4 linked regions of the Elephas maximus indicus genome follow. The protein of the gene in region 4 interacts with the protein of the main gene of each other region in a biochemical or structural test. Links are inferred from orthologs where the notes say so. Each region holds a gene or a part of one and is shown on either strand. Other genes may lie near its edges.

Region 1 (7,132 bases), on a different chromosome or scaffold from region 4:
TGAAAAAGGCCAGGGTTGCCAAGCACAGGAACTAAGGAGGGGAATAGCCTGAGATGAAGCAAGAAAGCCAGGTGGGGCCAAGCCATGCAAGCAGGGCTGGGTCAGATAAAGGATTCTAGCCTTTATCTAAGGGCAAGAGGAAGCCACTGAAAAGGTTTAACCAGGTGTGTATGTGTGTGTGTTTGTGACAGAATGGAGGGTGGGAAGAAAGATGATTAGATCTGCGCTTTTAAATATGCTAGCTTCTAGGTGGGGAATGGATGGAAGAGGCACAGGAGTGGAAGTATGGAGACCAGGTCAGAGGTGGTAGGAGTTCAGGTGAGACATGATGGCACTTCAGAAGGAAGTAGAGGCAGTGGAGATAGAGAAAAGTGGACGGGAGTTGTGATATTTATGAGGTAAAAACAATAATACTTAGTAATGAATTGATACGATGCGGGTAGAGCTATGAGACAGCAGGTAGAAGTTAAGGACGACTCCCAGATTTCTGCCTTGGGCAGTGAGTTGAGGGTGTTGTTCCCTAAGATAGTGAACACAGGTTGGCAGTGAAGGCAGGGTGGAGAATGGGAGTTTTTTTGAAGGCATTTACTGAATGCCCTCTCTGTACCTGTCTCTGTTTATACATAAACAGAAATGGTGCCTGCCTTAAAGTGGCTCACCTGCTGTTTGAGGAAGCAGGCCAAAAAGATCATTATAGTTCAAACATCAAGCAGGCCTCTCTGGACTGTGGATTCAAACAAAGCCACAGGAACATCAATCATGAAGATATTCTGTTCTTGCCCCCGCAAAGTCCCTACAGGTATTTCTGGGACATTTCAAGGGACTTTTCACATGTGCCTGATAGACAAGGCAGTCTGCGGGCACATCAGCCCTGCTCTGCTCCCTTCTGCTCCCGCCCACCGCCCCTAGCAAAGGTGCCCACTGTGAGGGTGCTAAGGGCAACACCAGGGCTAGAGTGAGGCAAGCAAGTCTGGAAAGTGAGTGCCTCCTTATGTTTTTCTAGCCCTGATGCTCTCAAGGAAACCCTAGTGGTATAGTGGTTAAGTGTTAGGCTGCTAAACAAAAGCTCAGAAGTTTGAATCTACCAGGTGCTCCTTGGAAACCCTATGGGGCAGTTCTGCTCTGTCCTACAGGGTCAGAATTGACTTGATGGCAATGGGTTTGTTTTTTTTTTTTTGGATGCCCTCAAGGTGCTGGAGCAGGCCTGTGTTCAAGAAGAAGGAGCTTCCCCAAGCTTTGAGCTACGTTAAGTCATTTGGGCCCTAAAGCTGCTCTGCTAGTACCATGGTAAAAACATGTTGAGTTTGAAAGGACAGTGAGACATCCAAATGTGGATGTCAGGTATACAAACAGCCTCTGGGTTTAGAACTTAGAAGTTTGGGCTGAAGATCTAAATTCCAGAGCTGTGGGCACGGAGGCGACAGTACAGGCACAAGACCAAGCTTTGCTGAACGCCCAACGTTTAAATGCCCTGCTCCCTCTCCACCTGGCAGCCAGCCAAGTCCCAGCTTCCCTAACTCACCACCTGCCACAGTTGGTCACTCCTTCCTGTGCATTCCCACAACCGTCTGTATGTTCTTCTATTATAACTTTTTTCACACTATGTGGTAACTCTTGGCTTACGTATTTGTCTTCACTAAATGAAGAGCTCCTGGAGGGCAAGGACTCTCTCTTACTCAATGTTGAGTCCCCATTTCTGTGTCCCCTCTCCCCTCCCTCCACATATTTGGCACCAAGTGATGTACTTCCAAAAAATTAGCCATTGAAAACCCTACGGAGCACAGTTCTACCCTGACACACATGGGGCCCCCATGAGTAGGAAAGGACTGAATGACAACTGATTAAAGATGTTTAAGACTGAACAGGTTAACTACACTCTTGGAAGAGAAATTCTCCTGCCCAGGGCCCTTTCTCTCCTGGGAACTGGCTGCAACAACAGAGGAGGTGGTTGAAGCCTGCTGGATCCCCCATTCGTGGAGGTTACACAGGCTTCCCTCAACCCACCCTCAGAGAAAGTAAGCAAAGGTTTGCCTGCCACCCAAAAAGTCTGTTGATCCTAGTCTAGAAAACCCATAGGCACCACTACCCAACTCCTTCTCAGACACTTCTTTATCAAAGTTTTATTAGCCTCAGCTCAAGGTACCTCCATCTGGGCATCTCACTACAGAGCAAGGACACTTCAGTCATTTGTAACACCACCACCCAAGCAGGATTTTCAGGGATGGCGGCAGAAATGAATTGCAAGGGAGCTATAAATCCTCTCTGCCCCCTTTCCTCCCTCCATGCAGTCTCTTTCTCCACCCAACCCACCTATTCCTTCACAGTCCACAAATGGATTACTCCCATTCCGTGAATGCGTTTCTGACGCGTTTCTGACGTTCTCATCTCTGCTCGTTTATTCACGCTCCCCTTTGCCTGGAACTCATTCTTCCCAGGCTGACATCTCTCTTCCCCTGCTTTGATCTCTGGTAACCCTTAATTTTCCCTTATCTTTTGACACTTTGTCATATTGCATTCTGCATTACAATTATTCAAAACATTCTTTTATTCTCCTACTGGACTATAAACTAAGGACAAGAGCCACTTCTTATGTGACCTCAAAGTAAAGTGCCGCACCAAACACTGGAGATAAGGGTGGGGGGGGGGGGCACTGTGGTTGCACTGAGGGAGTAAGACAGGCAAGACAATTTATGGAGATATCTGTGTTTTGTAATGATTTCTGTAGGTAATTTCTTCCCACCCCCACCAGAAAAAGGTAGCCAGGCCCTTATGTGCCCTAGTTGAAGACTTGTAAGTTTCAAAAATGATTACATTTAATAATGTCAAATTACACTGATTTCAAAATTCAGTAGTTTCAAGGCACCCAAAAGAAAATTTCCAGAAATGCTTTTGAACAGTGTGGGCTCATTGGGGGAAGTGATCAAGAAAGAAAAGGGATGGTAGTGAATGCTTTGAATGGGGGAAGTCAAAATCTGTGGAGAGAAGGAAAGGTTAGAGAAGGCACTAACCTTTTATGGGAATGTTCATTGGAAAGTAGTGACCTGGGCTCCACTTTGCATATACCAGCCCCAGCAAGAGGCGAACGCGCACGGAGACTGTGCGGTGTGTACCCTGGTCTTCAAAGCAGGGTCTGTCTCTCTGAGCAAGTCTGGAATAATCCATCATGGAGGGCCCAACAGAGGCAGAAGGACTAACGCTCATCCGAAGTCACTCATCCGAAGAAGAGACACCCCACATGATGCAACCGCCACGAATTAAGCTCTAGCCCCATTTTTTGCGGAAGAAACAGACTGAGTGAAAGCAGACCGATATGTAAATAAGTGTTAAAACACTCCTTCCTTTACGAAGACTTCTCTGACCAACAAAGGTTAACGTTTAAGAGCCTACTGTATTGCAAGCCATGGGATAAGACTTCTCTGGTTCCCTTTGTGCGTGCCATTGCGAGATTTCAGGTCTCCGATCTGAATCTTCCCTCTTAGTTCAAATTCTCCCAACAGCATTTAGTCTCCCCACTAAGCCGTCCTTCCTCAATTTATCCCTCCAAGCTTCCCTTCCCCATCTCCACTCCTCATCCCTACGTCAAACTCTCCATTAGTCTTTGCCTCTTCACCCTTTCTCCTACTCCCTTTCTCTCCCCCTCTCCACACTTAGGCAGCCTCTCTCCCTCCTCTTTCCTGCCCAGCGGCCTCAATTCTCGCTCCTTCCCGGTGCGCTACTCGGTTCTCCTTTCGTTTCCACACTTCAACGACTCCCCACTTCACCCCATACCCCCACCCCCACCCCCACCCCCAGCCCATTGAACGCAACCTGGCCCCACAGCTCAGCCGTTGAAGGGGGCGTGGCCCCGCGAGTAACAGCTCTCCCGCCCCACACTCCGCGGGCCCCCGCGCAGACAAAGACATTCCACAGTCCCTGCCCCCTCCGCGCACTCGGCCAGAAGGGGGAGGAGACACGTGTCCCGCTAGCGCCGAGTCACGTGGAAAAGAAAACGAACGAAGCCGGAGCCACCCGCGCACGCGCACAAACCTTAGGCCTAGCGGGCTCAGAGGGAAATGAGGAGTGGGGAGGCGACTTCCTCGGGCGCCTAGGTGGTGCGCAGGCGCTGTGACTCCACTAGGGACTTTGTTCTCCGCGGATAAACCCAAGGGCGGTGCCGGTGGCTGGCTGCGCACGCGCGCCGCCTCATTTCCGGTGCTCTCTTTTGCTGGGTCGCTCGGGTCGGCTTCGGTCGCGATCGCCCAGGCTCTCCCACCTTCGCCAACCGCCGCTCGGGCCTCTGCAGCTGCCGCGTCTCTTCCTCGATCCGTTGACCGCACGTCCTCCCAAATGCAGCGCCGGGACGATCCCGCCGCGCGCATGAGCCGGTCCTCGGGCCGCAGTGGCTCCATGGACCCTTCAGGTGCCCATCCCTCAGTGCGTCAGACACCGTCTCGGCAGCCCCCGCTGCCTCACCGGTCCCGGGGAGGCGGAGGAGGATCCCGGGGGGGCGCCCGGGCCTCGCCCGCCACGCAGCCGCCACCGCTGCTGCCGCCCTCGGCCACCGGTCCCGATGCGACAGTAGGTCCAGCGCCGACCCCGCTGCTGCCCCCCTCAGCCACTGCCTCCGTTAAAATGGAGCCAGAGAACAAGTACCTGCCCGAGCTTATGGCCGAGAAGGACTCGCTGGACCCGTCCTTCACTCACGCCATGCAGTTGCTGACGGCAGGTGAGCGGGCCGCCCGGCCACCCGGGGGCGTGGGTGGCAGCGGCTTTGTTCCTCTCGCTTCCCGCCCCCTCGGGACCGAGGCATTCGTGAACTCCCCTACTCTTATCTTCGGGAACCTGGTTTCCAAAGCCTCATTCTTTCGCAGGGTGCGAGGGAGAATTTCTAGGCTGCAGTGGAGGCCCGAAGGCGGCTTGGCGATCTCTTAGCGCAGAGATCTTGATGGATGGTGCTGAGCTCTCCGTCACCCTTCCAACCCTTCCCTTTCCCACCTCTTGCAGCTGCCCCGCGCTCTGAGTGCTCAGATTCTTCCAGAAATGAATGTTTATTTCCCTGTTCTCCCAAAGGGAAAGAAAGCCTTTTCGATTGCAGGTGGTGGGTGGTGTAAGAGATGAAGACACAGCCCGGTTGGAGAGGGACCGTGGGAGGGAGGGCCGAGGTGAGGCTGGAGTGCCCTGTCCAGCGCGCCGTCTACTGTGGGGTCCGGTCGGACTTAGCGGTAACTGGAGCTTAAGTTTCCCCCAGGTAGGAGCGACCTGTGGGAATCCGAGCTTGAGGTTTTCCGAATGAGATTTCCGACTTCGGCTGATAAAATGATTAATTGCGACAAGCCAAAAGGTTGGCCCCCTTTATTTTATGATGTGCGTTCACCTTCATCATTCAAGAAGGAAAAATAACCCTAGAGACAGTGAAATGAGATGAGAGAGAGAGGGAAGGAACTCCAGGATGGTTTGCTTGCCGTTTCCAAATGAGATTGAGAGAAGTTTCGCGATGCTTGTACGTGAAAGGCTCGATCTTTTTGGTTTTTTCTATTGGTTTCAGTTGTGAACTAGAGATCAGGAATGGTAGTCTTTGTTCTCTGTCTGTAGACTGGCATTCCTTTCCTGATCGGCCCTGGCCAAGCATCTAGTCGCTCAGATTTGCCTTGCTTCTCGTTAAGACATTTTAGTAAGTATTTCTTATGATACGTAAATTTTCCTAAGTAGAAATTCACAGCCTTTAACACTAAATGAGTAGTTGGACTCTGATCAGATTGATATAAAAGGCAGATCATTATGAAAATATCGTTTCCCTCCCTTTTGTTCTCTATCTTCCAGCATTGGTAAGGAGTCTAGTTTTCAACACCGTAAACTAAAGTACGTGGGGGTCAAGAATAAAAACTTTTTGATAAACTGCTTACATTTTTTTAACTCACTGTTTTGCTGCCCTGTCCACCCATCCACATTGTTTGAAACATTAATGTTTATTGTGTTCTTCTGGCAGGTTCTTTGAGGGCAGTAATTGCTTTTCATCTTTAAATTTTTCACAATCCCTTGCATATAGCAAACACCAAATATGTCTGATTGAATCTGAAAAAATGTACATGCAGATTTAGGAATGTCAGACTGATTGGTAAAGCTTGACCTGATATTCTAATTTTTATTTACCCAAATCTTCAAATAATCAGTCCAGATAACATGTATGAGGAAAAGAAAGTAACAAATTTTAGAACTTCAAGGTGTTGGCTTTGGTTTAAAATTCTGATCCTTAACTAGTTACATGGCTTTGGGAAACTGAACCTCAGTAATCTCATCTGTAGAGTGGGAATGATGAGTTATGAAGGTTAAATGATGTGTAAAAGCACTATCACAGCTCTCTTTGACCTATAATCATTAAGTAATAATTTGTCACCTCAGCTGTCTTCTAGCTGTAAATCCACGGTACCCAACAAGGTATGAAACTCAGGATATTTTTTGCCTTTGTAACCGAACATCAGGCATCCAGTGTGGTGGTCATCTCTTAAGCAAAAGGTGGTTTCTTAGGGTAACCATCAAAAACTATTGATCCTCAAAAGTTAGTTATAATTTTCACCCTCCCTGCCTGCATTGCTTAACTTCTACCAAAAGAGTGCCTTTTAATTTTTTAACTTTGGCTTTTTTGATGTCTCCCCCCCCCCTTTTTTTTTTTTTAACCAAACTCAAATTTTAACTAGAGAGATGGGATTGAGGTACTACTGGCTCAGTGAAAGAACAGAATTGGGATACTTCTTAGCATGGATAAGTCTTGATCTATGTTGGGTGCAGCTTTTAGGGTATTTCTAAATGATCTGGAAAAGACAGATTCTGAGAACATGGAATAGTACGTAGTAGTATATGATGAGGACACATGTAAGAAAAATGTAGCTATAACAATTAGGTGCCAGGCACTGGTCTGAGTGCTTTACATTAAATATTTAATTTTCGTGGTAACACTGTAAGGAAGTTACTCTTACCCTTATTTTCACCTATTAGGAAACCGGGGTACACAGACGAAATAATTTGCTGAAGGTAGCAAAGTTAGTAAGCAACATAGCCAGAATTTGAACTCAGTCTGAGTCTAGAACTCTAGGTCCACACACTTATACCTCCCTTCCCCCCACCTGCTACAATTTGTACTTAAAAATTAAGGCCT
Region 2 (7,020 bases), on a different chromosome or scaffold from region 4:
GGGGTACTCGCTCATAGGGTGGTAGGCATCCCGGGTTGGAAAGATGTCCAGCTGCCCGCAGCTCTTTTGGCGGCACTGACACACAGCCTGGGGAGAGAGGGTGTTTTGGTGGACCATGGGACTCCCTCTGGCAGGGCAACTCGGTCAGGGCCAGAAACAGCACTTACCAGGGCAATGAGATAGGTGATGGCCAGTGCAACCAGGACACAGACCAGCACCAGTAGGGCAATGCCCCAGCCTGGTACCCCAGACCCAGGTGGGGCAGAGGAAGAGAAAGGCACCTCATGCGCTAGAAAGAAAAGTAGTGGTCAGGGCAGTCTCCCAAAGGGGGCAACCCTTCCCTCACCAGCTCAGAAGGGAAGAGTCAGAACCCAGGTGCTGGAGGAGAGGGCCCCTGGTGTGACGCTGGGCTGCAGCTGGGGAAGTGGCCTCACCACTGATTCTTGAAATGATCAGGTTATATCTGGCTGCTTCTGTTGCATGCTGACCAAGCTGCATCTCCACGTTGTCAGCATTGGTGGTACCCTCTCGGAAGGTGAGAGTTGATTCCACCATGACAGATCCTGGACTGGTCACAGGGAGATGGGCAACTCTGCCTCAGCACATGCTTCCCAACCACAACCACGAATGCACCAGTCCATCCCCACAGACGTGCCAACATCCACCCACCCTCTCCCACACGGAGTCCACTGCCCAGCACTATACCTGAACTTGATATTAGAGAGGCCCAGATAATCCTTTCCATAGATCTGTGAAAACTGAGGTGAGTGGGAAAGGACTTAGGCTTGATGCTAGAGGTTTGAGTACTGGCCGCTTCAAGGCAGCATGGTGGAGGAAAGGCAAATACTCACCAAATTAGAAATGTTTCTCTGCAGCTCTTGGTAGTAGTTCGTGCTGGGGTCTTCCAGGGACGAGTTAAACTGAAGGTTCAAAATGCGAAAAGAGAGGAAGAAAAAGGAGACCCTAATAGATAACTGGGAAGAAGTGCTATGATTGGAGGAGGTAGGAGAAACTATGCTACGGGTAGTGCTACTGGCATTAGTTCTGGAGCTCTGGCTGGTAGGGGTGGTGGGAATATCAGAGTGCTGGCTGGAAACTGGGGGTTGAGTACTCTTGCCACCTGGGGTCATATCCTTGGTGGAAGTGCCATGTTGAACTGGAGTGGTAGTTGAGCCTGAGGCAGGGCTGGTGACCAGGGTGGAGGTGCCATGGTGAACTGAAGTAGCAATAGAGCCTGAGGCAGGGCTGGTGGCTGTGACAGAGGTGACATTGCTGACTGGAGGGATGGCTGAGCTGGAGACACGGCTGGTGGCCGAGGTGGAGGCGCTGCTGAGGGCTGGAGTGGTTGAGCCTGAGGCAGGGCTGGTGACCAGGGTGGAGGTGCCATGGTGAACTGAAGTGGTAATAGAGCCGGAGGCAGGGCTGGTGGCTGTGGCGGAGGTGACATTGCTGACTGGAGGGATGGCTGAGCTGGAGACACGGCTGGTGGCTGAGATGGAGGTACTACTGAGGGCTGGAGTGATTGAGCCTGAGGCAGGGCTGGTGACCAGGGTGGAGGTGCCATGGTGAACTGAAGTAGCAACAGAGCCTAAGGCAGGGCTGGTGGCTGTGGCAGAGGTGATATTGCTGACTGGAGGGATGGCTGAGCTGGAGACACGGCTGGTGGCCGAGGTGGAGGTGCTGCTGAGGGCTGGAGTGGTTGAGCCTGAGGCAGTGCTGGTGACCAGGGTGGAGGTGCCATGGTGAACTGAAGTGGTAATAGAGCCGGAGGCAGGGCTGGTGGCTGTGGCAGAGGTGACATTGCTGACTGGAGGGATGGCTGAGCTGGAGACACGGCTGGTGGCCGAGGTGGAGGTGCTGCTGAGGGCTGGAGTGGTTGAGCCTGAGGCAGTGCTGGTGACCAGGGTGGAGGTGCCATGGTGAACTGAAGTGGTAATAGAGCTGGAGGCAGGGCTGGTGGCTGTGGCAGAGGTGACATTGCTGACTGGAGGGATGGCTGAGCTGGAGACACGGCTGGTGGCCGAGGTGGAGGTGCTGCTGAGGGCTGGAGTGGTTGAGCCTGAGGCAGTGCTGGCGACCAGGGTGGAGGTGCCATGGTGAACTGAAGTGGTAATAGAGCCAGAGGCAGGGCTGGTGGCTGTGGCAGAGGTGACATTGCTGACTGGAGGGATGGCTGAGCTGGAGACACGGCTGGTGGTCGAGGTGGAGGTGCTGCTGAGGGCTGGAGTGGTTGAGCCTGAGGCAGGGCTGGTGACCAGGGTGGAGGTGCCATGGTGAACTGAAGTGGTAATAGAGCCGGAGGCAGGGCTGGTGGTCTGGGTTGAGGTGCCAGAGTGGGTTGGACTTCCGCTCTGTTCGAGAGCTGTGGAGCCAGAGATTGTAAGAACCGTTACGGAAGTGGGGGTGGTGGCAGGTGTAAGAAATTGAGGCCACAGGGTTGGAATTGGAGGACAAATCAGAGCAAGAAGAAAATACAACCTCTGGCAACTGGAGAAGTAATGCCAGGAGGATTTGGGGAGTGGGCCGCTGGCCAGGCAGCCCCTGGGTTGGCTCTTCCTGCCAGCAGCCTCCCTCTCCCTTCAGTGCCCCTTTGCTCCCAGCTTGTGCATTTCTCCACTCCCATGACTTACCTCTCCTGACTTCCCTTCCCCCCAAGACTTCTCTCCAGGACATTCACCTGTGCCTGACACCGGCTTTCCTGGGGGCCGCCTCTTTTCAGCCTAGCCTCGTCTTCTCCCCTTCATTCTGGTTCAGACTGGGCCACCCCTGTCTACAACTCCTGCCTCTCATGGTACTATCTGCCAGGAAGCAAAGCCCACAGAAACATCAGGAAATGGCATGATCAAGACAACCCCCCTCCCCACCTTGTACCCCTCACCTGTAAGCACTGGGAGTAACAGCAGGAGGAAGAAATGGGACTGGATGACTGGTGTCATGGTGGTGGTGAACTGGCTGGGGAGGGGGCAGAGCAGACTCAGGCAGGCACTGCTTGTGTGTGAGGTGAGGTGGAGCGGGCACAGGTGCCTGCCTGCTGCTTTATACCGGTCCCCCGCCCCGCCTAGGCCCAGCAGGAGCAGGTGACAGGTAACAAACTACCACCTCCTCCCCCTTTTCCTACCTCTTACCTCTTCCTCCTCCTCCCCAACTACTCCTGGCCCCTCAGGTACACTGGCTCCAATCACTCAACCCTCTGGACAACTTGTTTGCTCTCCAACTGGCCTCCCCCTTTTGCCAACCACTCCCTAGCCGCAGGAGATGGGAAGGAGGGAGTCTGGGACCTGGGTCCCCATGGCTCCAGTTTTGGGTCCAGAACAACAGCTAGGGTGAGAGAAGGAAACAGAGAAAATGGGCTAAGTCAAGGTCCTAGACAGCAAGGCTCAGAAGCCCACCCCTAAACCCTCCACTCTCATATCCCCACTCTTACTGGGTCCACTCTGAGAACTGAGAAAAAAAATAAAAAGGGTTTAATAATTAGTGGACTGACTACTAGTTGTGGACTCCCTCCCCCCTACCACTTCCCGGAATAGCCCCACCCCTCTAACCGCTCCCTGTCCTGTCCTGTTCCACACGCGGTTTTACCCCGAAACCTGTAGTCCCCGCCCCGGCCAGACTTTCCAGCATCCTGGCTCTCTGCTTGGCTTTCTCCGTAACAGGGGGCGGGGAAAGAAATTTCCACGTAAAGAAGGACGAAACCTGGGCTCCGCTGAACCCTAGGGTCTTTCCTTCCCAGCCTTCCACCTTCCACCTGCCAGCGCGGACGGCCAGCATTGCTGGCCCCGCTCTCCTGCCCTCTAGTGGTCACGCGAGCCTCGCGGGGCTGTCCCGGGCGGGCTGAGAGACTGGCCCGGTCCGGGGAGAGGAGGTTGGGCTGTGCTGCCTGAGAGGGGCTTGGAGAGAGCTGCAGAAGGCAGGGCCCCGACGGAAGGGTCAATGCCAGGGGCAGAGAAGGAAAGTGCTGTGCGATGGAGGGGCTGGGCGCTTCAGGAAGGGGACTCTGGGGCGCGTGGGGCAGTGTCTGGAAGAAATGGCGGTAAGTGGGTGGGGTCTTGAGGTTTGTGAAAGGGGCACCGAGTAACTTGGGAGACGACATCGCAATGTGGGAGGGGGAATGGGACAGAAATATGTAGGGGCAGTTACGTATTTGAAGCGAAGAGTAGGTGGGGCGACGGAATGGTATGTGAAGGCATTTTGGGGGACAGAACTAACTTGGAGACTAGATTGGTATTTGGGGAAGGCAGGCACTTGGTGGGGGGCAGAGTTGTATGTGAGGGTGCGTAATTTGGGAGGACCGAGAGGTATTTTGAAAGGCAGAAATAATTTGGGGGGGGGCAGAGAGGTATCAAGCCACTGCGGCACGTGGAGCTCAGGGTATCAGACCCCGTTCGGTGGTCCCGAGTTGCGGTCTAAGGCTGATAAAAGTAGTTACGTCTGTATTAGGAAGACATTTTTATCCCCAAGGAGTACAGATTGAAAAATAATACTTCAAAAACACCTCGGTGCGGCGCAGGATTGAAGGGAAGCCGGGCCAGTAAGCACGGGACCACCGTTGCCGCCCGCACGCTGCTCGGCCTGGTTTGCGCCGCTTTGTGCGGCCGCGAGACCCGGGGGCGGGTGCGGGGCAGGGGGAGCGGCTGACGTCAGCGCGCCCGGGCCGGAGAGGCGGGGACGCCCCCCCACCGCCGGCTACAGACAGCACGAGGATCTAGGTGGGCGGCCCCAAGCGCCAACCCCGCCGTTGCCAGGCAACAGCCATTCAGTTCGGTTGCTGGGACACGCGTTACCATGGCGACAAGTCTGCGCCGCGCAGTCTGAGTATTTAAAGAGCAAGCGCGCGCAACGCCCGGGCATCAGAAAGCGGCCTTCCGGGGTCTCGTGGTCTTTTTTTCATCCCCTTTCCCGTTCCTTTTACCCTACTCCAGGCTCCAAATCTCTCTGGCCTTCAAGGGGAACCCAACTCCCAGCCCACCCCCGTTTCTCAGGCCGGTCCGGCTTCAGACGGTGGGGAGCGGGATCCCGGGCCCCGGGCGGGCGGGAGGGACGGGACGCGGTGCAGTGTTGTTCTTTCCCCCGCCAATATTGCACTCGTCCCGGCCTCCGGCCCCCCCGGCCCCCCGGCCTCCCCCTTACCTCAGCGGGGCAGCTTCCGCTCTCCTGGCTTCGACCCCGGCTATCTAAGACAGACTGGAGTGTTGCCGCTGCCGCCGTGAGTAAGTAGGGTGGGGAGGGCTGTAGGCATCCTCCGAGCAGCATCTCATCCTTCACCTAACCCCATCCGGCGCCTTCCCCACCTGCGCCCCAAACTCTGCCAAATTTCCCCTAGATCTCTTAACTTTTGTCCTACCAAGCTTCTTCCCTTCTCCCCTTCAGGTTCCTTCCTGCTCCCCGACCTATCCCGGCAAATCCCTAAAATAAGCAATTGCACTAGGTTAGAAAACAACTGGAACTTTATGGCAATGTGCTGTTATCTTTCCTGGGGTGTTACCTTTTCTGGGGTGAGTGCCTGAGAAATACCCCTTGAAAATGTCCCATCCCCAACCCCTATGGGGCTGAACTCCTGGTGGGTGCCAAAGGAGGGTCTGTGTTTGGCTGAGGGGCTGCAGATTAGACCCTAGGGTCTCCAGGATGGACCCCGAGGCCAAAGGGTCTAAAATCAGGATTCTGAATCCGGTGGCCACCTCCTCACACCCTTTCCTGGAGCAGCTGCCTCCGGAATGGCTCAAAGTCCTCTGGCACTGTGTCTGAGGAAGGGGAAATGAGTAAGGTCAGAAGATGTGGCTCTCTCACAAGGGCATGAGGGGTCAGGTGGATCTTGGTCTAGTGCCTCACCATTGCATCGATACTGGAGATTGGACCAAATGATGTTTTCTTGGGAGAAGCAGAATACACCAAGACGCCCCCCTCGCATGGATGTGTCAATGATCACCCCAGAATCTGCCACTAGCTGGGGACCCTCATAAAGCTTCACCCTGTCCAGGAAAGGGGGTCCATTGGTGCTGGGATGCCAGTGGTCACTGTGCCACCATGCCCTGGTCCTGCTCACCCCCAGTCCCCCTTGAATTCACCAGGCTGCAGAGAGAAGGGAGGGAGGGGGAGGGAGAAAGGAAAGGGGAGGGAAGGGGGTGCTTTTCTCAGGCCTGGGGCCCCTGGCTCTTTGTCCAGCCCCCTTTGCATCTCAAAGCACCAGCCGCATTTCAAGCGAGGATTGGGTTGCCATGACGATGAGCACAATGGGCTGGGGGGTGAAGTCACCCGCTTCCCAGGCTCTAGTCCACCCCTCCCTTATCCCCTGCTCTGGCCCCCCACAGCCCCAGGCACCTTAAAGGGGAACTAACCCAGATCCCTGGACTCTGGGTTCTTGGCCTTAGAAAGTCCACCTCCAGTCAGACCCATTTCCCCTCCTTTGCTTGTCAGTGGCTTTCTGCAGTTAGCAGCCCCAGCTCCCCACCAAGTGGGGGCATTTGTCTGAGGAAAATGTAAAGTTATGGACAAAGTGCTGAATTGAGAGGCCTCAGCTGTTGCTACTCAGAGCTGTGAAGTCTGGGCCTGGGTTTGTTCTTCTGTAAATGATGAACCCTTCCAGGTCAGACTTAATGAGGCATGTTTGGGGTTTGGAGAATCCCAGATAATCATTCAGGCCATCTAGCCTAACACCCTTATTTTACTGAGGGGAAATGGGGCCCAGAGGAGGAGGGACTTGCCCAACATTGCACATAAGTCCTTGGCAGCACCAGCCAGAGCCCCTGCAGCCTGACCAGCCAGAGCCCCTGCTGCCTGATGGTAGGAGGAAAGCAGAGCCAAGGTGGCATGTCTGTGGTGAGAGGGATGATAGAAGTAGCCCAGTCCTGGCCCGTGGTACCAAGGAATTGAGGAAAGAGGAGTCACCGGTGAGTCTCAGCTAAAGGGGAAAGAAAGACCAGGCCTGGGGTCCCCTAGGAGAGCTCAGCCCCTCCCCTCACCGGATGTAGCCAACTTGAGGCCGGTGCAGCAGCTGCCAGCGGTAGGAGGTCTTGTCACGCCAGC
Region 3 (7,104 bases), on a different chromosome or scaffold from region 4:
CAGTCAAAAGAGGACAGTTGGGGAAGTTTTATACCCCCACCTCACTCCTGACCCCTAAGACCCAGTCCTTTTCAGATATCCCCTCAGTACTACCATCCTCACATCTCTGGCCAGTGTCTTCCCAATCCCTAGCCCCTTATTCTTCTCCCACCACCTTTGCTGTCTGCTCAACTCACCGGGTCTCCGCCGGATGCAAACGAGATGGATTGCATGTGGTGGTTGGCAATGATCTGAGGGTTAGGGGAGGGGATGGAGAAGGAAGGGAATGACATGTGTCAGACAGCCCCAGGGTCCACCTGGGTGCCCCCAACCCTAGCCCACCCACCCTCCTGGCTTCATACCCCATTGTTCTCATAATTTCCTCATCCCTACTGTCCTGCTGCCCTCTCTCCTTGTTTTTTGCCTTCATAACCAGATTTCCGTTTAGCCCCCCATCAGTGTTTCTGGTCCCCCTGCCTCACCATACCAACCTGTTTGCAGTCAGCTGCCATGAGGTTAAGGCTGCTGGTGGAGACTGTGAGAGTGATTGGCATTCCAGCAAATTTCAGGTTACTCCTCCCCAGGATGGAGCTGAGTGGACGGCTACAGGGCTAGGGAAGGGGATTCAGAAGCTGAGGGTTCCCAACAACAGGAAACCACACTTCTGCCTTTTGGCTTTCTCCCCACATGCCCATCTGCCTTCCTCCTGCCCCTCCACATCTCCCAGCAGCATCCGTAGCCCCATCAGCCCCAGGTACCTTTCTCCTCCTTGTTGCCCCCTTAGCACCCGGCACAGCCTCACACACCAGACTGATGGCCTCCCTGGGGAAAGAAGGGTACTCAGACCCAGAGCCTGCCTCCCACTCTGCTGGGGCTACCACAGGGCTGGGGGAGGGGAAGGCCAGGCCAGACTCCAGGGGCACTCCAGGCTCTTTGTTGTGGCAGATTGAATTAAGGGCCTTTAATATTTGATGACACTGAGAGGCCGCTTCCTGGCTGATTGGGTTAGGGCCTCAATGGGTATAGCCCCACCTCCTTCCGGCCACTAAATGTCCTGGTCCCTTCCCAAAGGCAGCAGCAACTTTCAATCTGCCCCCATTTTCCACTCAAGCTCCACCTGCTAGCTGCTTCTGCCACCTCCCACACAACTCCCAGGGCTGGACAGGTAAGGAGGGTCAGGACCACAGTTTCCCTTCTCATTCATACAACTTGCTCCCTTCTCTCAATCCCCTTTACCACCCAAAATAAGCCACCTCTAGACCACAACCACGTGATCCACTTCCCTTCTCCCCTTTCCCAGGGCACCCACAATCCGCCGCCACCCCCACTGACCTGGTGACCTGAGTCCGGGTGTTGAAGTCCAGGGCACGCATGGACTGCAGCACCTCCACACAGCCCATGTACTGAGGGGAAGGACAGAAGGGAGAGGGGAATAACGAGTCAGCTGCCTCCCATCAACCCCTTCACAAAGGACCCTAGGACTTCTCCCTACATGGTCCCTGAGGGAAGTAAAGATGTGCAAGTTCTGCCCACTGACCATGGCTACAACCCACAACGTGCAAGACAACAGGGGAATGAGGATAGAAAGAAAGGGAAGCTAGGTAGACCTCAGGCATGAGGAAGAGAATTTGGAGGGGAGTGACAGGCACTGGGTGGGGTGGAGACAATCTAGTGACATCTCCAAAAAGGGGGAGGAGACTGGAGGGGAGAATCAAGAAGTAACACATTCCAACACTTCCTAAGGGCCTACCATGTGCTGGGCATTGTACTAAGCATGGCAGGGTGGGGGGTGGGGGAGTCAAGAAGGAAGGGGGCCCAGGCAAAACTGGAAGGGAAGGGGCTACAGAATTGGAGAAAGGCTTAAGAAAGGAAATGGAACACAGGAACACAGTCCTCAAGGAGGGGGTTGTTAGGGAAAGAGATAGCAGCAAAGTTGGAGTGAGCAGAGGAACTGGAAGAGGGTCTGGGAAGGAGTGGAAGGGAGGATGTTCACTCACCCGAACCAAGTAGGAAACCCCGGGTCCCATGACTTTCTCGTTGGGATGCAGCCAGCCCCGCGTGGGCTTATTGACAAAGCTCCCGTGGCGGGTCCACTCCTCGCCCCCCAGCTGGCCCCCTTCCACCCGAGTCCTGCGCCCGCCGCCTCCACTCAGCTTGTTCATGTCCTGGAGGAGGTGCAGGGGGCCTGAGTCCAGCATGGCTGCCCCTGCGATCCCCTCCCCATCCTCGGCTGCCCTTCCTGGCTCCCCTCTTGGCCCTGGTCGCCCCCCAACTGGGTTGGCCAGTTTCAGGTTGCTCATCCGGGGGAAGAAGGAGCACAGGGTAGTGGGACTGTCGTCCCCAGGCAGAGGTGGCAGGATGGGCCCTAAGGATGAGGCTGATGGGGAAGGCAGCTCCTCCGGGGGCGTGGACCCTGAAGCCCCCTCCTCCAGCGATGACAGAGACTCATTCCGAAGTGGGTTGTACTTGGGCTTGGGGGGAAGGAGATCCATGGCTGGGGTGAGAGGGGTGCTGCTGCCCAGCCCGGCCCCCCTGCCAGTCAGGGCAAGGGGGCCAGGCAGGAGGCATCCCCAGGCCCTTAGCCTGGTCGGAACTCTATAGCCCAGGGGTCTCAGGAGTCCTGAGGAGGGAGAGAGACAGGTAGCTTCAGCTCCCCCAGCTCAGCCCCAAACAGTTTCAGGGCCCATCTCCGCCCAGCATGGAGCCTCTTCTCTGGCGAGAGGAGAACAGGCTGGACCCAGAGCTGCCTAGCTCCTCCTCAGGGGCGGAGAGCTGAGGGGAGAGACCAATCCCAAGGACAGTGCTGACTCACAGGCTCTGAGGGGCTGATCCCCCACTGCCAACCCAACCTAGAACCCTTGCTGGGTTAGGGACAGCGACGTCCCTCTTCCCCCACCTCCAAACAACCAACCAGCTATCTGGGGAGGAGTAAGGTGGGCGTTGAAGGGAAGGATAGAGGGAAGGAAAGGAGGGAGATAAGAGGAGGTCTGGATCAGTCCAAACCGGACATGGGCAGGCCAGGGGGGAAGCAGGAAACCAGGAAAGGGAGAGGTGGGCGGGGGGGGGGGTGGGGAGCAATGAGGGAGGAAACAGAGACAGCTGGGGGTGGAAAAGGGAGGGGATCCCTGAGCTCAGCACTTTCTTTCCTGTCCTGGTCGAACACTCAAATTTCCCCATCTTCCAGCCCAGGCCACCTCGCCCTTCACTAACACACAGTGGGGCTGTGGACCTAGGGAGCCGGAGCCATTAGCATCCTCTGCCACAACAGCTGTGGACTGGAGGTAGGGAGATGGGGAAGGGAAGGAAGTGGTCCCAGTGGATGTAGAGAGGGGCCAAGACGAAGGGCGAAGCTGGTAAAGTAAGGAGGAAGTCCAACCTCGGTGGTGCATCAGGGAGCCACAAGGCAAGAGCTGGAGCAAGAGGACAGGTTGGCTGCGGCTTCTTCCCTATGCAAGGCACCCACCATGGCAAAGAGCAGCAGCCCACAGCCAGGCACTGTTCTGGCTGCTTTTCCACAGGCACAAGTTAGCAAAGCAAGCTGTCAAAGCTGAGAAGCGGATGGCCTGGGTACTAACTCTAAAGTCAACTCCCCAGTCCTGCCAGGTATACTCATACTCTTCCTCTTGCAGTGGTGACTGGGAATGCCCAGGTGTCCACCATGGAGCACAGTGTCCCTAACACCAGGGAAGGAGTCTGGCTGGGGGAGGTGGGAGAGTGTGGCAGCTCTCCAAGAGAAGTGGGGCCTCCAAGCTACAAAGGGATAGAGAGAACAGAAGACAGATCTATGTTAATAAATACAGGAGAAAGGGATGCCAGGAGAAGATGGGCTGAGGCCGGACACAGGGAACAATCCCGAGCCCATCCCTTCCACCCACAGCTTCCTGTCACAGCTGTGCTTGAGGGGATCACAGAGGAAGTTAGAAAGTGGCCAAAAACAAAAAGATACACATACCCCCAGGATCACCTCAGAATTACCCTATTTTTTTTTCAATTTACTTCAGAGAATAAAAAGAAGGGAATAATCGTATGATTACAGTGATAACAGTACCAGCACTTAAAACGTGTTATATATTGTGCTAAACGCTTTCACCTCCCCTTAGTCTTCATCCCAGAAGAGCTCATCACTCCATCCACCACTCCTGAAAAGGAATTCTATCACTTCATTTCCTAAGGCCTCAGCTCTCAGGCAAACGGAGAATGAGGAAAGGATTCTGCCACAGCCTCACACCCCCCCAAAACACAAACACACACCAAACCCGTTGCCGTCGAGTCAATTCCAACTCATAGCAACCCTATAGGACAGAGCAGAACTGCCCCATAGAGCTTCCAGGGAGCGCCTGGTGGATTCTAACTGCTGACCTTTTGGTTAGCAGCCATAGCACTTAACCCTAATCTTTAGAGATGGCCGTTCTGTGGAGTCTGCAGTATCCAGAGGCAGGGAGTGACCAACAGGTATGGGCAGTTGGAAGAAAAGAAAGAGGAAGTTTAACTCTAAATTTGCATAGGGAGAAAGGAGATTGCCTACTGGGAGTCCCGGTGATTGGGTGTGGGGAAGGAGCTGTGCCTGGCTTCTCAGCCCAGCAGGGAGGAGGCAAGAGGAGCGGGAAGTAGCAGGAAATGGCGAAAGCCTCAGGAATGTTTCCAGTAGGGAAGGCTGGGCAAGCGGAGCCAGGAGGAATGCCCAGGCAAGAACTCTGGTTTGGGGGAAGGGAAGACTGAGGAGTCCCTTAGAAAAAAATCAAACCGCAAAATAGGACACTGCTCCCCATCCCTGCTCCAAACCACCGTTCTGTCTGGTGATAGAAAATTTTGGCTCCTGTCACAAGCACATGCCACACACTAACGAATCCACGGCCCTACCCAACTCCTGCGGTACAGGTACGACTTGCAGCTGTTTCTGGGGTGGACTCGGTCCTGGGAAGTGGGCTGGCAATGGAGGGAATAGGGCTGGGAATCTATGAGCAAGTCTCTCTACCAGTCTCGTGCCAAACCCCAAGTCCAGCCCACTTCAAGCCGGTCCACTCTAGGAAGGGGGGTAAGGGAAAGGAAAACGGTGCCTCTATTCTCCCACTTTTCAGGGCCAGAGATGGGAACTGTGACTTCCCACCCGGTGGAGCATGAGAGCGCAGGAGAACTGAGTCCAAGGACCTGAAAGACGGACCGGGAAGTGTAAGCACGTGAGACTTCTAGAATTGAAGACAAAACTTCAGAGGTGATGACAAGGATAAAGCCCCAGCGGGGGCGTGGCCCCTAGGACGCGAGCAAGGGAAATTTCTATGAGGAGAGGCTTCTGGACGATCAGACTTAGATTAAGGAAAGGGCGGGGCTTCTAGAGGGGCGGGGCTTCTACAGAGGCGTGGCTTCAACGGATTCTCGAATAGTTCTTTGAAGCGCGAGGGTTGGCTTGGCCCTTTTGGGGGACAGGCTTCTTGACAGACAGGAGTTAGCGGAAAACCGTCGCAAGAAGGCGGAGCTTCGGCGACTTGGAAGCATTAACGAAGGGTTTCTCGTAGTAGGGTTTGGAAGCATGTCTAGGGGTGGGACTTCCAGGAAAGATGGACGACTGGGTAGCGTCAGGAACAATAAATAAAAAAAAAAATCACGGTTCAGGGAGCCCCCTGGAGCTGGGAGGTGGAACTTCCGCGGAGGGGGTCGCAAGGGGCGGGACTTAACAATGAAGACCGGAAGTGGGGTCCCGGGAGAGGGGTTCCGGGGTGGAGATGTGGATCACCTAAACAGAAAAAACGTCAAGACTCACCAGGGCTGCATGGAGTCTCCGCACCGCACCGCGGGCCTGTTTGGTTCCGGATTACGCCACTGCCTCCTTAGGTTCCCTCTCCAACTTTCTCCCCGGACCCGGCCTCCCTGGAGAAACTTTATTGCTCTCACTTCCGGTCTCACTAACCCCTGACCCTCTACCTCACCGTCCCTCCTTCACCCGTCCCACTTTCTCGAGTCAGCCAATGGTAGCGCGAGAACGCGCACAGGAGCAGTGGTAGCCAATAAGAGGCCTATTTTTGACCCAAACTCGTTCTTGAGAAACGTAGGACCTACCCTCCAATAAGGACCCTAGTAGTAGTAAATTTAAGCCAATCGGAGGCTTGAAGGTGGAGCTGTCCCGCCTTGAACAAAAGGGACCAATAAGAAGTGTGGGCGGTGTGTTTGAAAGCGAGGCCAAAGGGGGTGGGAGCGCGTGCTGCTGGGAGTTGTTTGGAGGTTGGCGGCGCGGGTCTGAAGTCCCTCAGGCTGAGCGATTATGTCGCACAAACAAATCTACTACTCGGACAAATACGATGACGAGGAGTTCGAGTACCGGTTAGTGCCGGCGCGGGGGCCTTAACGAAGTTGTGAACCTTGTCAAGTGAGGGCACGAGTTAGTAATGAGGACTGAGGCGACAGAATTGGCGCATGCGCGAGAGATGTACGGGGTGGGTTTGAGCCGGGTGAGGCGTAGAGAGCATGCGCGAGGGGTGGGACGCTCTCTGAAAAAGACAAATTGGTTGAAAATTTGGAATAAGCCCTCTGTTGAGCATAGATGGGCGTGGTTAGAGTGCTGACTGCCTTCACCCGTGCGGATTTCTGAATCTTTCTCGCAGCTGCTGGCAAGTTGAACTTGCCTTGCGATTACTATCATAAGAATACCATAGGACCCTAGAGCCTACCGGGAGAAGGTGGCAAAGGCAAAGCTGGAATTTTCCTCGTGTCCTCCGTGCGAGGAGAGACCGAGTGCTGCGGGCGTGGCTGTCCGGCTTATTTTAGGAAGGGCGCTGCTAGGAACAGGAGTGGGAAAAAAACTGGCCAGGAACACTGAGAAAAAACTTACGATGGATCTGATAGATGGCTTCAAATATTTGAAGGGCATCTATTCATGAATCAATTATGGAGGGCTTATAGTTTTCAGGTGTTCTGCCAAGGTGCAAGAATAAGACATGGTCTCAGCTTTCAACGAAAAGTCTTAAAGATACTAACAGACTCCAGAAAGGTGATAAATGCTATGGTGGAGATGTTACAGGGTGTGATGGGAGCACATTAAACCTGCTAAGGGGAAAGATCTGAGAGAGCTTCTTGGAGGAAACTGCCTGAGATGAGGTTCAAGGAAGGATGGAGAAAACAGCTCTGACCAAA
Region 4 (7,537 bases):
AATACACAGAGCCCCCAGAACAGGGTACTTGCTCGGGGAACTCCGCACTTAATAACTGTGAGGTATTGCTATGATGGCGTAGTGGTTAAATGCTGTGGCTGCTTACCCAAAGGATGGCAGTTCGAGTCCACCAGGCGCTCCTTGGAAACCCTGTGGGGCGATCCTACTCTGTCCTATAGGGTTGCTATGAGTCAGGATCGACTCAATGGCAGCTGTTTTTTTTTGTTGTTGTTGTTGCTGTGATTATTATCTTCACCATTATTCTTTCAAGCCCTCCTGTGGCAGGCTGTCTCCCTCTGCTAGGTTGAAGGTTTCTAACCCTTCTTGTCTGTGGGGTCACAGCTTTGGCTTCAGATTTCCGCTTGCCCTCTACCCTCCTGCCAGGCAGATCAAGGGCCCGACTCCTTTCATCTTTTCTCACAAACATTCTGGGATGTGGCCTGCGCTGGGGGATGGCTCTGCCCACCAGTAACTCTTTGTGTAACTTTGGGAGAGTGTCTGTCCCTCTTTGGGCCTCTACTGTGGCCTGACGGGGTGATGTGATGAGTGACTGAGTTTTCTTGGCAACTGGCTTTCACAACAGTCTGGGGGGCTTGGGCTTTTGCCCCATTTTCAGATGTTCAGGTCTTTTCTGCCTGTAATGTCCTCTATTTTGTCTCCAGACTCTAGGCTGGGCAGAGAAGTGCTTGAGCCTCAGGTTTCCCTTCCCTGTACTGGCCGTAAAGCCCCAGAAGGTGCAGCTGAGGAGGTTTGTGATTCTGCAGGGCTGCTCAGTGGTTAGTGCCATCATTTGGATGTCTTCACTCAGGCTTCTCCGCAGAGGTGCATGCTGAGGTGCACGCCTGTGGGCAGGTGGGCAGTGAGGCTGGAGACTGACCACCCCTCCCGGGGGCTGGCCTGAGGGAGAATGTGCAACCTGTTCCTTCTGACTCTCATAGGGTTATGCTTCTCCAACCTCCTGGGTTTTAGGCCTCCTAACTGCCTCCCTGCCTTAATCTATCTTCCACCCAGTAGTGACCACAGTGATCTCTCGTCTGCTAACAACTCTCCATGGCTCCCCATTGCCTCTAGGACAGGAGTCAAGCCTGGCACTTGAGGACGCTCAGGGTTCACCCCAGCGCCCCCCTTCCTGCCCCACTTCTCCCCACTGCCAGCCCACCCACCATCTTGTGCTCCATCAGCACTGCCCTGCTTGTAGTTCCACACATAGCGGTGTTTTTGGCCTCTGGGTCTTTGCTCAAGCTGCTCCCTCTGTGCCATTTTTCACCTGGCAGCTGTCTCCTCCGACTTTTGAGCCCTCCATTGCTGACCTCCTTCTTCCACCAGCCACCCCACAAGATACATGCTGGCATGGAAGCTCCTTCTCCAGGTCCCCCTCCCCAACCACTGTGCCTGGCACATGGTCACATGTCCCTGTTCCTCCAGGCTGTGAGCTCCTCCAAGGCACAGGTCTGGCCTGGTTTGTTCACTGCTGTCTCCCTAGCACCTAGCACAGACCCTGGCACATAGTATGTGCTCAGGAAAACTGACTGAATGGAGGAAGGCTAAGGCTTAGCCAGGCCTTAGAGGGTGGGGAGCATTCCAGGCACAGGGAGCAGCAAGTGCAGAGGCCTCAAGGCAAGAATGAGCTCCGTGGTGAATCAGCAAGGAGGTAGACTTGGCAGAAGAGGAAGGGGACCCAGGCTCGGAGGGCCCAGATTGGGCTGAAGCTCCGATGAATGGAACATCACTATGTAAACTCTAAGACGCAGTACTGTGGGAGGCACCAAACTTATTACATAGCTTCAGGCTCCCTCCTCCCCTAATCCATCCCACAGTCCTGAGTCCAGTGGCTTCAGACAGAGGACTCATAGTAAACCATTTGGGGAATGACAGGGCTGGTCTGGAATTTCCCACTGAGTGCCTGTGATGGGTCCAGCCTCCCAGTGGCTGCTCCAAGGATGAGCTGGCCTGGGGGTGGGTGCAGTAGATAGGCTGTCATTGAGCCAGAGCCCCCAGGGCCCTGGGTGAGATGTGGGCGGGGCCCTTGACCCCACGTCATGGGAAGCCTCTGGTGTACGGTTCTACCACCAGTTGCGTGCAGCGGGGCCTCACTCCACACTCCCCATGCTGCCCTGGGTTGTGGCTTTGACCCAGAACGCAGTGGGGAGGAGGAGAAGAGGCGGTTTCCAGAGACCAAGGACTCTGTGCCACCCATACTCACCCTTTCAGCAGTGCTGACATCAGTATCATCTGTCATCTGCTGGGAGCTTTGGGTTGGGAAATTGTCCTCACTGGTGTCCAGGCCTGGCCTGGGGCTGTGTATACAGTCAGAGATTAATACATGGTTTTCGTCTATTAATGATGATGAATGGTTTACAGGCACTAAGCTGAGTATTAAATGATGTGCTGATAAATATTTAATAACCACCTCTCCGAAAGGAAAAAAAAAAAAGCCTTGATTTGTAGCGTTTGCCAATTTCCAGGATGTAATACTTTCACCATGGCTGATATCAAGATACCAATGTAACATCAGTGAACACAAAGTTGAGAAGAGGTGCACAATCAGCTCTTGGGGGCAAATAGGAGTCAGCTGTGGGACACCACTGGATGAATCCCATCCCTAGCTCAGTGTGGCCAGTGAAGGCCTTCAGAAATGTCTGAAGAGTGAACCAGGGAGAGAAACCTGCTCCTCCAGCCAGGAGCCCAGGTTAATCTTTAAGCCAGCCTTGCAAACAAGTGCAGCCATTTTGCCAGCCCATGTTGGCTTACGGTACTGCTTTGCCTCTGACTTGCTGTAGGCCTTTGTGCAGTCCCTTCTCTCTCTAGTCTCAGGAGCCTTTGCTAGCATTCCCCTCCCAGGTGCTTTTAGCAGAGACTTCTGTCCAGGGGGTAGAAGTCCAAGCCTGGTGCCTCTTTGTCCTGGCTGGGCCTTTGTTTCCCATCTGTGAAATGGGAGAACTTTCAGAGGAGGAAAGTGGAGGCTGGCGGGGGTATTTAAAGCTGGATTCAGGCCCACCCACTAGGTGCTATGATCCAGAGAGGCCTGGTGAGGAGCCAAGGTGGCAAGCTCTACCTCCATTAGGGCAGCACTGGATCCTGGGCTAGGAGGTGGTAGGGCGTCAGGTAAGCTCAGATAGTGGTTGGGGGAGACTTTGTGGCCTAAAGCAGTATTTCCTCCATGTTCCTTTTCTTTCCTACACTTCCAACCCCTGTGCCCAGATGTGCTTAGCCTCTTTAGTTACTTGAAAATGTAATTTTCACTTAAATATCAGCTTTAACCGCCCCTTCCCTCCCCCAGCAGTAATCTCCTCAACTTGCTGGTCTGATTGGGCTACCATAGTTAATGTTTTTTCTTATGCACATGAAAATGAACACATACCTAGACACATCCAAACACTCTGAGGGACCAAGTTGCTGGGGCTGGGGGCTGGGGACCACAGTCTCAGGGAACATCTAGATCAATTGACATAACGTAGTTCATCAAGAAAATGTTCTATAGCCCATTTTGGTGAGTAGCATCTGGGATCTTAAAAGCTTGCAAGTGGCCATCTGAGATACATCTATTGGTCCCATCCTGTGTGGAACAAAGGGGACTGAAGAAAACCAAAGATACAAGGAAAATACTAGCCCAAAGGATTAAAGGACCACAAGAACCAGACTCCACCAGCCTGAGCCCAGAAGAACTAGATGGTGGCTGGCTACCACCAGCAACCACTTTGACAGGGATCACGGAGGAAAATATAAAACAGAATTCAAATTCACCAAAAAAGACCAGACTTGCTGGTCTGACAGAGACTGGAGGAACCCCCGAGAATATGGCCCCAGACACTCCACTAACTCAGAACTCAAACCGCTCCCCGAGCACACTTTTCAGACAAAGATTAGACAGGCAGATAAATTAAAAAACAACACACTGTGAGGAACATGCTTCTTAGTTCAATCAAATATAGGAGACCAAATGGGCAACGCCTGCCCAAAAGCAGGACAAGAAGGTGGGAAGGGACAGGAGCTGGAAGAGCAGACACAGGGAAAACCGAGTGGAAAGGGGGAGCATGCCCTCACATTGTGGAGAATGCAACCAAAAAAGAAAAATAAATAAATAAAATGAACACGTATCTATTAAAATAAAAGTGGCTCTTCCGGCTTGCCCCACCTGCCCCAGCTCCCACTTTGGGAAACTGGGGTTAAGGCTGGGAACCAAGGACTGGTTCTTGTTAGGAGATCCTTGCCTTTTCAGCACCTCAGTTTCCTCATCTGTGCAACAGGGATAATCTCAGGACCACCCAGCCCAGGTTGTTTTCAGGATTAGATCCCAAAGTCGACCTCAGCCACTTAGTATGGCTCCTGGTAAGGAGTGAGCGCTCCATTAGGGTCGAGGTTATTATCATTATTAATAATTGCAGGAGAGGCAGATTTGGGGTAAACAGGGTTGGTGAGTGGCTTGGGGGAGTTAGGGAGGGTATTTTGGCCTGGGAGCAGATGGGATGGGGGCCTCGTGGGATGGGGCGCTTTCACGGGGCAGCGTGGGAGGCGGGGCCTCTGCTCCCCGTCCACGCCACCCCTGCCCTGCCCGGACCCCTGGCTTGGGCCGCGCACGGGTGTCTCCCAGGTCACCGGCAGGGAGTGTATCCCCGCGCGCTTCCTCCTTCCTCCTCCTCCCGGCGGCCTGCCGGGCCCCTCCTCCCCACTCGCGCGCTCCCTCCCTCCTCTTCCCCTCCCGGGGCCGCCGCCGCCTCCTCCTCCTCTTTCTCCTCCCTTTCTCTCTCGGTCTGTCTCTCCCGGCCCGGAATCCATTCCGGCCTGGGAGCCGGAGCGGCCAGGCCGCCGTCTGCCCGATACCCCTGCCGTCCGGCGGCCCGGGGGTCCGCCCTCCCGTGCGTCCGCCCGCCGGTGCGACCGTCTGCCGGCTGCCTCAGGTGAGAGCCCTCCGCCCCTCTGCGGGCCCCTAGTCCCGGCCGGCCTGAGAAAGCCCCCGCCTGGACCACCCCGGCGTCTGATCGCGGGGCCGCCGGGGCTCCTGCCCACCCCTGTCCCCCAGCCCCGGGCCGGGCCGCGATCCCGGAGCGCACGGAGGGCGCACCGGGACAAGCCCAGCGCGGCCTTTTGTTGTGATGCCGCGGAGGGAGGGGGCTGGGCGGGGGCGCTGGAGTCCTGGCCGTGCGGGGACCCCTCTCGTTGGCCCTTCCCCCGCGAACCCCCCGAGATGCAGGCGAGCCGGCCCGAGTCCCCAGGCCAGGTCTAGGCCAAATATGAAATCTGAGCCAGTCGGCGCCGCCTCTGGCCGCGACTACCCGGCCTGGCGCCCCTGGCCCGCGGTGGGGTGTGGGTGGGGGGGGGGGGCAGAAGGCCTGGAACGGGGGTTTGGGGGGCGCCAAGGAGGGAGCGCTAGGCCCAGGGCGCCAGGACCTCCTCGTCCTCGTGGGGCCTTAGGTCGGGCCTGGTGTCGCCGGCCTGGAATAAGGGGCTGGGCCAGGCTGGGCTTGGTCCCCGCTGCCCACAGCCCCCAGCGCTGCCCGCTCGGAAGTTGGCAAAAGTTTTGGGTGCCTACCTCCTGGCGGGTCCACCTGCCTGCCTGGGTGGGGGTGGGTTTGAGGCCAGGCTGGGGCTGCCACTCGCCCTGCTGTGTATCCTCAAGCAACTGCCTGTCCATTCTGAGCCCGGGACCTCATCAGTGGCAGATGGGCCTGAGTGGAATTGCTGGGCTGGTGGGAGAATGGATTGGAGTGAACAGAACTCAACTGTGGGGTATCAGTTCAGGGACTTGAGAGTGGGCACAGTGTGTGTGTGGCCCTGGGCAAGACTTCCTGGGCCTCAGGGATTCTGTCTATACAATAGGGGCAGTGGTCCCTGGGTCACCTGGGATGAGTCCAGGTCTAGCAACAATATAGCTGAGACCAGACCTGGCTTGAGGGTGGGCCTCGCTGGTCCTGTTGCTGACCCTCTTCTTGCCCCCTAGGGGGAGCACTGATTGGGAAGTCAGGACACCTGGGCTTCTTGTCTCCCTAAGTGACCTGGGCCAAGGGATTGCCCCTCTGAGTCACAGTATGAGGAATAGGGATGCTCAGGGGAAGATTCTATGCACCTCTGCCTGTAGGGGCTTGGCACGTAGTTGGTGCTCAATAAATGAGTGCTTTACAGAACGACTGCCTAAGAAATGAAGGTGGGAGGTAAGGTTGCTGGCCCAAGTGGGGCTCATCTCCTTGTGCCCAGAAGAGGGTGAATCTTCTGAAAAACCTACTCATAACCCCCTTGAGAAAGAAACAGCCCCAGCCCAGTCCTGCCACATAACAGCTGTGTGACCTTAAGCAACTCACGCTCCCTCTGGCCACAGTTTTGTCAACTTTAAAATGAGCCAATAATAATGGCAACTGAGTACCCTCTGTGAGCACTCACCCCTGTGAGGTAGAGTCTCTTTTTTTTCTCCAGTTTACTGATGGGGAAACAGACTCAGAGAGGGGAAATAATTGGCCAAGGCCATACGACTTGAAGCTGGAATTAGAACCCAGACCTCAGAGACCCAGTCTGGCTGCCGGGCACCCCTCCAGTGATGGGAGAGTGGAGGTTGCCCAGCATGGGGCCAGGCACAGAGCAGTGTTGGAAGACTATACTGATGAGTGATTGACTGGAAGCCACGAGGCCCTTTTGGGCCTGCATTGGTGATACTGTCTTTCCACCCAGAGAAATGATTTACAGTGTGTCACCTCTCTCAGCTGACTGCTTGCCTAGGTCCTCCTGTGTGAATCCTGGGCCTTTGCTCCTGAAGATGTCCCTGCCAGGAGTGCCATAAGCTGCTCATCTGCTCAGGCTCTTCAACGCTTAGCTTAAGGCCCACTTCTCCCAGCAAGGCCCCCTGGCTCTCTCCTCTTCCTCCTGGAGTAGGCATTATCCCCAGCACACAACCCAGAATCTTCTTTGGCTTGTTCCCTGATTGTGACCTGAGGGGGAGAGGGTCTGACTCCCACAAACCCCAGGGGTCAGGGTGGGGATAGCTCAGTGACCCACTGAGCTCTGCCCAGGGTGAGCACATGTAGCTGCTGGGAAAACCCCCCATCTCTTGGTCCCGAACCATGTATCATGGATGCTTGTTTGTCTAACCTTTTCACAAGAGTTGACCCTGTTTTCTCAAGCTTGCCCAGATATAAGCACCATGACCCCATATTGAGCACCTACTATGTACGAGGAGCTTATAACTCAGTGGAGCAGTGCTGTGATGGGGTAGCAGTGGGAGTTATGGGAGGCATCAGGGAGATTCCAGGAGGTAGTGTGCCTAAGCTGAGGGAGGGCAGTAGGTCACCTAACAAAGAAGGGGAGAGGGGACTCTTTCTTCCCTCCTGCTCAGATACCTCCCAGGCCTCCATTTTCCTGCCCTCCCCTGCCCAAGATTGTGGGAGTAGTCAGCCTGGTGGGTACTTGCTGGGGAATGGTGATCAAGTCCCTGACCTTCCAGAAATTTGAATCTGTAGGGGAAGACAAGTAGCAAACCAGTTGCCAGATAAATAAATATATAATGGCAGATTGCGATAAGGATTCAGAGTGTGAGGTCTGGGGTGTGGAG

Evidence for each region.
Region 1: the proteins of SRC (region 4) and KHDRBS1 form a complex in vitro, tested with the Homo sapiens proteins (8 studies listed by BioGRID, with this or other methods). The link is inferred for Elephas maximus indicus from reciprocal best matches to the Homo sapiens genes SRC and KHDRBS1.
Region 2: the proteins of SRC (region 4) and MUC1 form a complex in vitro, tested with the Homo sapiens proteins (2 studies listed by BioGRID, with this or other methods). The link is inferred for Elephas maximus indicus from reciprocal best matches to the Homo sapiens genes SRC and MUC1.
Region 3: of the proteins of SRC (region 4) and SHC1, one has a biochemical effect on the other in vitro, tested with the Homo sapiens proteins (4 studies listed by BioGRID and IntAct, with this or other methods). The link is inferred for Elephas maximus indicus from reciprocal best matches to the Homo sapiens genes SRC and SHC1.

What each region holds. Positions count from the first base shown.
Region 1 is NC_064821.1:72,957,961-72,965,092, forward strand, and holds the start of KHDRBS1 (KH domain-containing, RNA-binding, signal transduction-associated protein 1), read left to right. Parts: upstream 1-4,119; 5' UTR 4,120-4,326; coding exon 4,327-4,705; intron 4,706-7,132. UniProt on the Homo sapiens protein: Recruited and tyrosine phosphorylated by several receptor systems, for example the T-cell, leptin and insulin receptors. Once phosphorylated, functions as an adapter protein in signal transduction cascades by binding to SH2 and SH3 domain-containing proteins.
Region 2 is NC_064821.1:193,099,381-193,106,400, forward strand, and holds the start of MUC1 (mucin-1), read right to left. Parts: upstream 3,018-7,020; 5' UTR 2,937-3,017; coding exon 2,879-2,936; intron 2,363-2,878; coding exon 852-2,362; intron 759-851; coding exon 706-758; intron 569-705; coding exon 435-568; intron 290-434; coding exon 168-289; intron 88-167; coding exon 1-87. Other genes in the region: THBS3 (thrombospondin-3), read right to left, coding at 5,680-5,738, 5,827-5,966, 6,957-7,020. UniProt on the Homo sapiens protein: The alpha subunit has cell adhesive properties. Can act both as an adhesion and an anti-adhesion protein. May provide a protective layer on epithelial cells against bacterial and enzyme attack.
Region 3 is NC_064821.1:192,878,821-192,885,924, forward strand, and holds the start of SHC1 (SHC-transforming protein 1), read right to left. Parts: upstream 3,010-7,104; 5' UTR 2,472-3,009; coding exon 1,977-2,471; intron 1,383-1,976; coding exon 1,312-1,382; intron 802-1,311; coding exon 738-801; intron 591-737; coding exon 471-590; intron 231-470; coding exon 177-230; intron 1-176. Other genes in the region: CKS1B (cyclin-dependent kinases regulatory subunit 1), read left to right, coding at 6,236-6,294. UniProt on the Homo sapiens protein: Signaling adapter that couples activated growth factor receptors to signaling pathways. Participates in a signaling cascade initiated by activated KIT and KITLG/SCF.
Region 4 is NC_064843.1:32,209,559-32,217,095, reverse strand, and holds the start of SRC (proto-oncogene tyrosine-protein kinase Src), read left to right. Parts: upstream 1-4,523; 5' UTR 4,524-4,898; intron 4,899-7,537. UniProt on the Homo sapiens protein: Non-receptor protein tyrosine kinase which is activated following engagement of many different classes of cellular receptors including immune response receptors, integrins and other adhesion receptors, receptor protein tyrosine kinases, G protein-coupled receptors as well as cytokine receptors.